Rattus norvegicus: one gene and its partners. The protein of the gene in region 1 purifies or fractionates together with the protein of each later gene. This does not show direct contact. Links are inferred from orthologs where the notes say so. Each region holds a gene or a part of one and is shown in the gene's direction. Other genes may lie near its edges.

Region 1 (3,749 bases):
TAACTAATAAATACTGTGATGGCTGTTGCCAACTTGTTCTCCCTCGCCTTTAAACTAAGGAACTAATTTTTCCCATCTGTAAATTCAGTTGAAAGGGTTTTTTCCTTTTTCTTTTCTTTTCTTTTTTGTTTTTAAGATTTATTTATTTTATTTATATGAGTGCACTGTACCTGTCTTCAGACACACCAGAAGAAGGTATCAGTTCTCATTACAGATGGTTGTGAGCCACCATGTGGTTGCTGGGATTTGAACTCAGGTCCTCTGGAAAAGCAGTCAGTGCTCTTAACCACTGAGCCATCTCTCCAGCCCTCTTTTTCTTTTCTTTTTCTTTTTTTTTTCCTTTGGTGGTATGGGGGTGTAGCTCAGTAGTCTGTATGGTTAGCATTTCTTCTAGGCTCCTCCTCCCCACAGTTACCTGGCAACAGCCAGGTATGCCTTGCTAACTATAATAGGGGCTGCTTGCCACCTCCTCTCTCTTGCTCTTATTCTCATACTCTCCCTGACCACTTTCTCCCTTTCCCCCTCCCTCCACTTGTTCCTGGCAGACCTTTCCTCACTCTCTCCCTCCCTCCCTCCTTCCCTCCCTCCCTGCCTCTCTCTCTCAACTCCCTTCCCAACTCCATTTCCCATGCCCTAAATAAACTCTGTTCCATACTCTAGCTGATACTATATGGCTGGTACCTCAGGGGGAAGGGATGCCTTAGCTTGGGCCCATAGAGGCACCCCCTCCCACCTCACCGTACCTGGCTCTATCAAACATATCCTGGCTCTTTGTTTTTTGTTTGTTTGGTTTGTTGTTTTGCTTTTTAAATAAAACAACAGTATAATGCCCTGGTTTCCATAATCAGCTCCCAAAATCACAAAGCTTGATCCCTGGTCATTGTTTGTTTAAAGTCTTTGGGTTCTGTTGTAATTCTCTCAAACAAGAGATGTTACATAGTAAAATATTTTCCCTCTCCCTTTCCTGTTACTTTTCCCCCTCAAGCAATTTTAATTAACTGGACAGATGATGGGAAAGCCTTTGTCCCGAATGATTCTAGATAAAGGGTTGATTGTCCTGATCTGTTGTAGTACCTAATCTTGCTTTTCCCCTTCTTCCAGTGAGCGATAATCCTGTTAGGTGGTCCTAAAATGCTATTGATTAATTCACAGCGCTTTTAGAGAAATAAGCCTAAATTTTGGACTTTAAAACAAAGAACCTAACTCCCTTGAGCTCTGAAAGCCTTAGCCTCGGGGCCAGGGGAAGATACCTTCCAACTTCTCCACCCAGTCTGCAGTGAAAAGGAAAGTTAAGCCTTTTAACTTTTTCATTTGCCTCTCCCCCCCTTAGTCTAGTACGGCTGCCAGTTGTCATGGCAACGGACTGGGACAGCTGCGCAGTGGCGCCCAGGCAGCTGGGTGGGGGCGGGGGAGCTGCCAGCCCGCCAAGCCCCAGACCTGGGAGGGGAGGCCCCTCCTGTTAGCCCAGAGGGAAAGAACGAACTGGGGCGATCCGGTAGGTAAGGTAGGGAACCCCTATTGATCTACTTTGAGGGCTTCTCTTCAACATAAAGGTATAAAGAAAAAAATTCTCTTCCTCAAACTGAAGAACACATATGTAAATCCTTGTTGTTTTTTTTTTTTTTTTTTTTTTTTTTTTCCTGGTGAGGCAGGGAAGGCCATAGCCACAATGCTTAACTGCATGCTTCCAACATGGGGCTGGTTTTAACCCAGCGCTCTGACCTAAAGTGCTCAGCTCCCGGAAATTCCAAGGTGAGTGGGGGTGGGGGTGGGGTACTCTCCCTGGAATATGACATTTCCTGTCTGTGGTGAGGTCGGAGGCTGTGTTTATTTTAAATAAACCTTATATATTTTTTGATGTTTATGAGTCTTCTAAATAAATGGAAAGATTATTTCAAAACCCCTTAACTACATTCCCCCAAGCCTTTCTCAAATAAAGTTACCATAGGTCAGAAATTAATATAAGCAGTTTTTGAGGCGGGCATACCTATTTGCTAACCAGTTTTATAGGTAGGATTTTCAACACTTTATTTTTGTAATAATTTCTTACAAATTAATAATTTAAATAAATTGTTAAATACAACTTCTGCTTCTTTGACTTGAACATGATTTTAAGATTAGCTGCCCTTTTTATTTCTGAGATTGGCTTTCTGGCCAAGATGGGAATGTTCTGAAAAATATCTTTAGAGATTATAGCAAAATAACAATGGAGTCAACTGAGAATCAATTCTTGCTACTTGGTAATTCAGACTATGGGTGCCATTTAACATTGTTAAAGAATTATTTTAAAATGATTATGGTAACAACAGTGTGGGAATTTTAAAAACTAGATTCTCTGTGAGCACTCCTGATGTGCATATTTCTGAGCTTAACTCAGTTTCCATTTGTGCTGCCTTGCTGTGGCTTTTCTGGGGCCTGAGGCTGATGAATAAGTCCTCTGTGTTCTTAGGAGGCTTCATGTTGATGCAGAGTCTGGGGCCAGACTTCTCCTTCCTCTTCCTTTGGCCCAAAGTCAACTTCAGTTAAGAGACAAGGTACCTCCTGAACTATTTAGGTTAGTTGAGCTCTGGGAATTACAGACTAGTCCAGTGAGTAATTCTGAAATTTTTTTCTCTGCCCCTCTTCCCTTTTATCCCCAACTGAGCTTGCTAAAAAGAAGACTTAGTATGTTTGAGCTGTCAGCCTTGCTTCTGTGAGCTGATAGATAATCTGAAAGGACAGGCTCAAATTGTTTAAGGGAAATGTACCAATTCAATGGAAATGTGAGAGATGGCCCAAGCAGGATGTGTGTGTGTGTATCCTGAGAGTTCAGAGTATAGAAAAATTAAATTCAGGTGCATTGGGGGGAAAGGGTCTTTTATTCACCTTGATGGAAAAAGATTTTTTTTATTCTTTGTTTCTTTAATTGAAGGCTTTCCATATTTCTTTTTGAGTTCCTGGCTCACAAGTAGATGTAGAAATGGTCAGGAGTAACATGCATGCTGTTTGCTCTTTGGGAATATGAAATTAAAGAGTGAAACAATTATTCCATCTAATAATTTTGATCTCCAGCTGAAGAGAAGTTGTTAGAGAAGTGTGGATTGACCCATGTTAAATTTGTAGCATTGTCATATAATAATTGTAGATCAAAGAGAAGGATAAGTGTCTCACTGGTGTTATATCCTCTGTTCCATCACAAAGAGACAATTTTAACCCTCAGATAGATTAAACCATTTCATCTTTCCCCCTTTTCAGGAACCTGGTGGCCGCACTCCTTTAGGTGGACCAACACATACCCAACATGGGAAAGAAGACCAAGAGGACAGCCGACAGCTCTTCATCAGAGGATGAGGAGGAGTATGTGGTGGAAAAGGTGTTGGACAGGCGCATGGTTAAAGGGCAAGTGGAGTATCTGCTGAAGTGGAAAGGCTTTTCTGAGTAAGTGCTTTCTTTTTCAGTCTTTAAGACTTTGTAGAGATTAGAAAGCTTTGGTTTCTTTGTCCATGAGCCATAATCTGTCTTTTTCCATTTACATACTGTCATGAAAATCAAAACAGGCAGCAGACCACACACTGTCCCTATTATGGAGCTGATACTTTAATGGTTTTACTTTTGAAGAGTAGTTTAAGGAATTGGTTGGAAACACAGACTTGGGAGCTAGATATCGTGGGACCAGATTCTTGTTCCATCCCCTAAGATACAGGTGAATGACCTCGGTTAATTTCTTTTTTTTATTATTATAACTTAAATTTTTTTGCCATTTTGTTTTG
Region 2 (3,623 bases), on another chromosome or scaffold:
GAACTTGAGTCCCTCCTCTTAACCTCTGAGCTCATCCAGCGAGGACCCCGCTGAGCCTGGGTGGGGAGGGTGTGCATCTGTGGAATGCCCCATGCTCTGGCTTTGGCTGTTCCCAGAGGTGCCCCTCAGCTTCCGTTTTCTGGCCAGCAAGTCTGGGCCCTGATTCCATTCCTCCTTCCGTCCCTCAGGACAGTGGGGGCTGGACACCCATCATCTGGGCAGCCGAGCACAAGCACATCGACGTGATCCGTATGCTGCTGACCCGGGGCGCCGACGTCACCCTTACCGACAACGTGAGGGGCACTCAAGGGAGCTGGGGGGACTGGTGGGGAGCAGGGGGACCCCGATCCTGTCACCTGCAACCCGATCTCTGCCCCTCACCTCCACAGGAGGAAAACATCTGCCTGCACTGGGCTTCCTTCACGGGTAGTGCCGCTATTGCCGAGGTCCTCCTGAATGCCCAGTGCGACCTCCATGCTGTCAACTACCACGGGGACACGCCCCTGCACATAGCCGCCAGGGAGAGCTACCATGACTGCGTTCTGTAAGCCCCAGCTTCCGGACCCACCTCCCCACACCCCACTCCCGGCACCCACACCCCACTGTCCAGTCTCTGACTCAGGTTTTCTATCCCTCTCAGGTTGTTCCTGTCCCGTGGAGCCAACCCTGAGCTTCGGAACAAAGAAGGGGACACGGCGTGGGATCTGACCCCAGAGCGCTCCGATGTGTGGTTTGCACTGCAGCTCAATCGCAAGCTTAGGCTCGGGGTAGGGAACCGGGCTGTCCGCACCGAGAAGATCATCTGCCGGTGAGTGCAGCCCAGATGCCACAGCTCCTCCACGTCTTCAGTCTCAGGCCCCTTGCCAGACGCAGGACGTCCCAGTAGCTCCTACAATCATCTTGCCTCTAAGGGAGGTGGAAATAAGGGGCCCTCAGTGGGCAAGGGAACCTGCAACCAAGCCTGACAAACTGAGTGCAGTCCCTGGAGAGCCATGTTTTTCTCTGGCTTACGAACACACAGCATGGCACAGTCGCACACCTGAAAAAAGCTAAAGGCAGGGTGTGGTGGCCACCCCTGTAATCTCAGCACGCAGGAGGCAGACGGTTGGTTGTTTTGAACCTGAGGCCAGCTTGGTTTGTATGTATTAGTGAGTTCCAGGCCAAGGAGGGCCACATGGTGAGACCTTATCTTTCTTAAAATAAATGAAAAATAAATAAATATGTAAGAAAAATAAAGAAAAGGACATGTTTTCCAAGCCTTAGAGGTAGCTGAGGCAGGAGGATTGTGAGTTTGAGGCAGATACCCAAATAAGAGTTTCAGACAGGCTGGAGAGATGGCTCAGAGGCTAAGAACACTGACTGCTCTTCCAGAGGTCCTGAGTTCAATTCCCAGCAACCACATGGTGACTCACAGCCATCTGAAAGGGGATCTTCCGCCCTCTTCTGGCCTGCAGGTGTACATGCAGATAGAGCGCTCATAAACATAAGATAAATAAAGCTTTTTAAAAAAAAAAAAAAAAAGAATTTCAGACAGGAGCTGGGTGTCACCTGTGACCCCCTCCTATTCTGAAGGCTGGAGGAAGACCTGCCTCTTGAGCCCACGGGTTGGAGATCAGTATTTGTTATTATTGAGACTCAGACCTTAAAAAGGAAAATCAAACCAAACCAAAAAACCCCGCAAGGCTAGTGTGAGGCAACCCAACTACTGAATGTGCATTCTGAGTTCAAGCCAAGAACCCACCAGGAGAGAGCTGCCTCCTGAAGGTTGCCCTCTGACCTTAATTCCACACTGTATCCTGTGTGAGCGCGAAAGGTCCTCAAGCCAGGCGTGGTGGTTTAGACCTTTAATCCACTACTCTGGAGGGAGGCGAAGGCAGATCTCTGGGCTCTAGGGCTACACAGTGAGATGCTGTCTCAAGAAGGGAGCGGTTGGAGGCCACCAGGAATGTTCACTGTCTTTGAGGAGAGGTTTTTTTTTTTTTTTTTTTTTTTAAGACAGGGTTTCTCTGTGTAGCCCCGGCTGTCCTGGAAGTCACTCTGTAGACCAGGCTGGCCTTGAACTCACAGAGATCCCTGTGCCTCTGCCTCCCTAGTGCTGGGATTAAAAGGAGTGCATCACTCTGCCAGAAAGGACTGTGACCTCTAATGTTAGCACTGGGGAGGAGTAGCAGATGGATCTGAGTTCTAGGATAGCCAGAGCTACAGAATGAGAGTGTCTCAAAGAAAGGAAGGAAGAGGCAACACGTTAAAAAGTTAAAAAAGGGGGTCGGGGATTTAGCTCAGTGGTAGAGCACTTGCCTAGCAAGGGCAAGGCCCTGGGTTCGGTCCTCAGCTCCGGGGGGGGGGGGGGGGGGTAAAAAAGGGATCTGGAGAGATGGCTCAGCGGTTAAGAGCACTGGCTGCTCTTCCAGAGGTCCTGAGTTCAATTCCCAGCACCCACAGGGTGGCTCACAGCCATCTGTAACTTCAGATCCATGACCCAGAGGATCCATGCCTCCTTCTGACCTCTGCGGGCAGCAGGCGTGCATGTGGGGTGCATACAGAAGTGCAGGCAAAGTATTCTTAACACGTAAAATGAGAAAATGTTTTTTCAGGTGAGCAGGAATACTAGTGCGTCCTGTGCTAGCTGGGTGCTTGCAGTCTGTGTCAGTGCTACACTAAGGAAGCGGGAAGGCCATGGTCTCACTTTTAAGGCCAGCCAAGCGAGGCATTATACCAAGGCTCAGCCTCCAACTAAAATTTAAAAGTCCAGAGTCCAGCAGGGTGATGACATATACCTCTAATCCTAGCCACTTGGGAGCTAGGGCAGGAGAGTCAAGAGTCCAAGTCATTCTTGGCTATCTCGCTATTTGGGGCCAGCAGGCTATATGATGCTGTATCTCACAGAGGAATATAAGGGGCCGGGGCCGGGGCCGGGGCTGGAGTAGAGTGTTTATTGGCCTCACATGCACAATGTTGTTGGGCCTCACCAAGAAACAAAGATAACCTGTGCGATGTTGAGGACATAATTATTTCTAAGCTGAGATTGTTTCCCTGGTGTCTTAACTTCCCTTTTTTTGTTTTCAAGAATGTCTCACCGCATGCACTGGGATTAAAGGTGCCACCACCCCAGCACCCTTATACGGAGGAATCCTTGAGCTTCCCCTCAGGAATGCTCCGGCCCCTACCTAACTTTACTGCCCTTCTGTAGGGATGTAGCCCGAGGCTATGAGAATGTGCCCATTCCCTGTGTCAATGGCGTGGATGGGGAGCCATGCCCAGAGGACTATAAGTACATCTCCGAGAACTGTGAAACGTCCACCATGAACATCGACCGAAACATCACTCACCTGCAGGTGAGACACAGGCCCCACCGGGCTCGAGGGAGCAGGGGCTGAAGGAGCCTGATGTGGGAGTCCCTCCACACTGGGGCACATGAAGACTCCCCCTCTCGCTGGGACCGTCACCAGCCAGCGTCCTGAAACGAACCCATGCTCCAGGGGAGAGCCCTCTCACTCACACCACTCCTTCCCGCCCAGCACTGCACGTGTGTTGACGACTGCTCCAGCTCCAACTGCCTGTGTGGCCAGCTAAGCATCCGATGCTGGTATGATAAGGTGCGTGTCCCTCACCTGGCCACTCCC
Region 3 (3,308 bases), on another chromosome or scaffold:
ACAGTACCTTGGGGCCTTTTGTCCATGATTCTCACAAAAAGAATGCATCAGGGATGAGATTATATTATCTAATGTTGAGATGAGGAAACTGGGGCTTACACTGCTGAAATCTCTTGCTGCAGTCCTTGCTTTGAATTGGAAAGTCAGGGGGCTGAAGCAATGGTTCAGAAGTTAAGAGCTCTGGCTACTCTTCCAGCAGACCTGGATTCATTTCCCAGCAATCACAGGGTGGATCACAACCATCTGTAACTTCAGTCCCAAGAGATCCAATGCCCTTTTCTGGCTTTGCTGTATTATTTTATTTATCTTACATGTTTTGTCTTGTCATGTGGCAAGCCCAAGGGGCCATTAGGTGCAACTTACAAACTGACTTCTGACAGTGGTATGTTAAGAAGCCAGCCCTACAGTGCTTATATTCCAGAAAAAAAATTAAAAAAAAAAAAAAACATGTGCCACTTTAAGAGCATTAGAACTAGGGTTTGGAGAAGTATGATAAAAGTTGAATGTGTTTGACCAACATCACCAACTACCTAAAGCTGCTAAAGAAATCTTTGGGCCCCAGCTTGGCCCAAAGATACATTGTCCTAGGGAAGTTACCAAAATCAGAGAGAGTATGCAGCAGCCAGGGGTCTCATGTGTGGCATTCAAGCTCACCTATACTCACTACTGTGCAGACAGCTATGCTCTCTGTAATACTTACATATTTGTTTAATACTTCAGGGAGGAAAAGTCAGAAGACCAGGATCTCCAGGGCCTCAAAGAGAAACCCCTGAAGTTTAAGAAGGTGAAGAAAGACAAGAAGGAAGACAAAGAGGGCAAACATGAACCACTACAGCCTTCAGCCCACCATTCTGCAGAGCCAGCAGAGGCAGGCAAAGCAGAGACATCAGAAAGCTCAGGCTCTGCCCCAGCAGTACCAGAAGCCTCTGCTTCTCCCAAACAGCGACGTTCCATCATTCGTGACCGGGGACCTATGTATGATGACCCCACCTTGCCTGAAGGTTGGACGCGAAAGCTTAAACAGAGGAAGTCTGGTCGCTCTGCTGGAAAGTATGATGTATATTTGATCAAGTAAGTAAGAGCAAGTCTTGTGTCTACAGAACAGGGAAGGCCAGGTGGGTGGGAAGGCTAGGATGCAAAAGCTTTATTGCACTGAAATGGCTTCCCAAAGAGGCTGGACATCATGCCTTGGTTAAAATGCAGAAATGTGTTGGTGTTGGGTTAAGTCTGGGTACCAACCAACAGATTGGACCCAGCCCAATGTTCACCAAGTACCAGGCCTCACCCGTTTGGTTTCAGTATTGTGGAGAAGCAGGAAGTACAGAGAAGTGTGCTTGAAAGTGGGCAGGTCCTCTGTTTTCAGATTCAGCTGCATTGGCTTCTGAGCAAGCTGTAACATGATTTCTACTATGCATCTGACCTAGGTGTGCCCTCCAATAATTTTAGCACTTCAGTTTGTTGTTCATTTACAATGTCTTAGAAGAAAGCTTGTCAGTACTACATTTTCTAAGTCAGTCTCTACGTTATCAAAAAGCTTCTGACTATTGTTTGTCTCTCTGTTTGTCTCTACAGTCCCCAGGGAAAAGCCTTTCGCTCTAAAGTAGAATTGATTGCATATTTTGAAAAGGTGGGAGACACCTCCTTGGACCCTAATGATTTTGACTTCACTGTAACTGGGAGAGGGAGCCCTTCCAGGAGAGAACAGAAACCACCTAAGAAGCCCAAATCTCCCAAAGCTCCAGGAACTGGCAGGGGTCGGGGACGCCCGAAAGGGAGCGGCACTGGGAGACCAAAGGCAGCAGCATCAGAAGGTGTTCAAGTGAAAAGGGTCCTGGAGAAGAGCCCTGGGAAACTTCTCGTCAAGATGCCTTTCCAAGCATCACCTGGGGGTAAGGGTGAGGGAGGTGGGGCTACCACATCTGCGCAGGTCATGGTGATCAAACGCCCTGGCAGAAAGCGAAAAGCTGAAGCTGACCCCCAGGCCATTCCTAAGAAACGGGGTAGAAAGCCTGGGAGTGTGGTGGCAGCTGCTGCTGCAGAGGCCAAAAAGAAAGCTGTGAAGGAATCTTCTATACGGTCTGTGCAGGAGACTGTGCTCCCCATCAAGAAGCGCAAGACCCGGGAAACCGTCAGCATTGAGGTCAAGGAGGTGGTGAAGCCCCTGCTGGTGTCTACACTTGGTGAGAAGAGTGGAAAGGGACTGAAGACATGCAAGAGCCCTGGGCGTAAAAGCAAGGAGAGCAGCCCCAAGGGGCGCAGCAGCAGTGCCTCCTCACCACCTAAGAAGGAGCACCATCATCACCACCATCACGCAGAGTCCCCAAAGGCCCCCATGCCATTGCTTCCACCTCCACCCCCACCTGAGCCTCAGAGCTCTGAGGACCCCATCAGCCCCCCTGAGCCTCAGGACTTGAGCAGCAGCATCTGCAAAGAGGAGAAGATGCCCCGAGCAGGCTCACTGGAAAGCGATGGCTGCCCCAAGGAGCCAGCTAAGACTCAGCCCATGGTTGCTGCCGCCGCCACCACCACCACCACCACCACCACCACAGTTGCAGAAAAGTACAAACACCGAGGGGAGGGAGAGCGCAAAGACATTGTTTCATCCTCCATGCCGAGGCCAAACAGAGAGGAGCCTGTGGACAGCCGGACGCCCGTGACCGAGAGAGTTAGCTGACTTTACATAGAGCGGATTGCAAAGCAAACCAACAAGAATAAAGGCAGCTGTTGTCTCTTCTCCTTATGGGTAGGGCTCTGACAAAGCTTCCCGATTAACTGAAATAAAAAATATTTTTTTTTCTTTCAGTAAACTTAGAGTTTCGTGGCTTCGGGGTGGGAGTAGTTGGAGCATTGGGATGTTTTTCTTACCGACAAGCACAGTCAGGTTGAAGACCTAACCAGGGCCAGAAGTAGCTTTGCACTTTTCTAAACTAGGCTCCTTCAACAAGGCTTGCTGCAGATACTACTGACCAGACAAGCTGTTGACCAGGCACTCCCCACAACAACAACCCCCTCCCTCCTCACCCCACCCCTATCCCCTGTGTGCTCATTAGAGAGGGCAATTGAGAGGACACTCCCATTTTTGGTGCCACTGATGCCCTGTCCATAGCTTCCCTGACTTTTACACCACCCCAACTCCCAATCTGAGGGACTGGGAGGTGTGACGCAGGAGAAACTATATAGGACTCTTGGGAGAAGACTATAGAGTTGGCAAGTGATTGCGCCCCAGTAATTCCAACTGTGGTAGCACAAGTCTGGCTCCACACCAACCCAATCCAAAACTGACAAGGACATTTTGCAAAAAATGAAAG

Evidence for each region.
Region 2: the proteins of Cbx5 (region 1) and Ehmt2 purify together in Homo sapiens (affinity purification with mass spectrometry; 3 studies listed by BioGRID and IntAct, with this or other methods). This does not show direct contact. The link is inferred for Rattus norvegicus from reciprocal best matches to the Homo sapiens genes CBX5 and EHMT2.
Region 3: the proteins of Cbx5 (region 1) and Mecp2 purify together in Homo sapiens (affinity purification with western blotting; 3 studies listed by BioGRID, with this or other methods). This does not show direct contact. The link is inferred for Rattus norvegicus from reciprocal best matches to the Homo sapiens genes CBX5 and MECP2.

What each region holds. Positions count from the first base shown.
Region 1 is NC_086025.1:136,226,831-136,230,579, reverse strand, and holds the start of Cbx5 (chromobox protein homolog 5), read left to right. Parts: upstream 1-1,461; 5' UTR 1,462-1,504; intron 1,505-1,648; exon of another isoform or gene 1,649-1,652; 5' UTR 1,653-1,752; intron 1,753-3,234; 5' UTR 3,235-3,280; coding exon 3,281-3,417; intron 3,418-3,749. UniProt on the Homo sapiens protein: Component of heterochromatin that recognizes and binds histone H3 tails methylated at 'Lys-9' (H3K9me), leading to epigenetic repression. In contrast, it is excluded from chromatin when 'Tyr-41' of histone H3 is phosphorylated (H3Y41ph).
Region 2 is NC_086038.1:3,927,118-3,930,740, reverse strand, and holds part of Ehmt2 (histone-lysine N-methyltransferase EHMT2), read left to right. Parts: intron 1-188; coding exon 189-293; intron 294-389; coding exon 390-544; intron 545-640; coding exon 641-808; intron 809-3,190; coding exon 3,191-3,335; intron 3,336-3,518; coding exon 3,519-3,596; intron 3,597-3,623. UniProt on the Homo sapiens protein: Histone methyltransferase that specifically mono- and dimethylates 'Lys-9' of histone H3 (H3K9me1 and H3K9me2, respectively) in euchromatin.
Region 3 is NC_086039.1:156,940,625-156,943,932, reverse strand, and holds the end of Mecp2 (methyl-CpG-binding protein 2), read left to right. Parts: intron 1-720; coding exon 721-1,071; intron 1,072-1,572; coding exon 1,573-2,674; 3' UTR 2,675-2,689; downstream 2,690-3,308. UniProt on the Homo sapiens protein: Chromosomal protein that binds to methylated DNA. It can bind specifically to a single methyl-CpG pair. It is not influenced by sequences flanking the methyl-CpGs.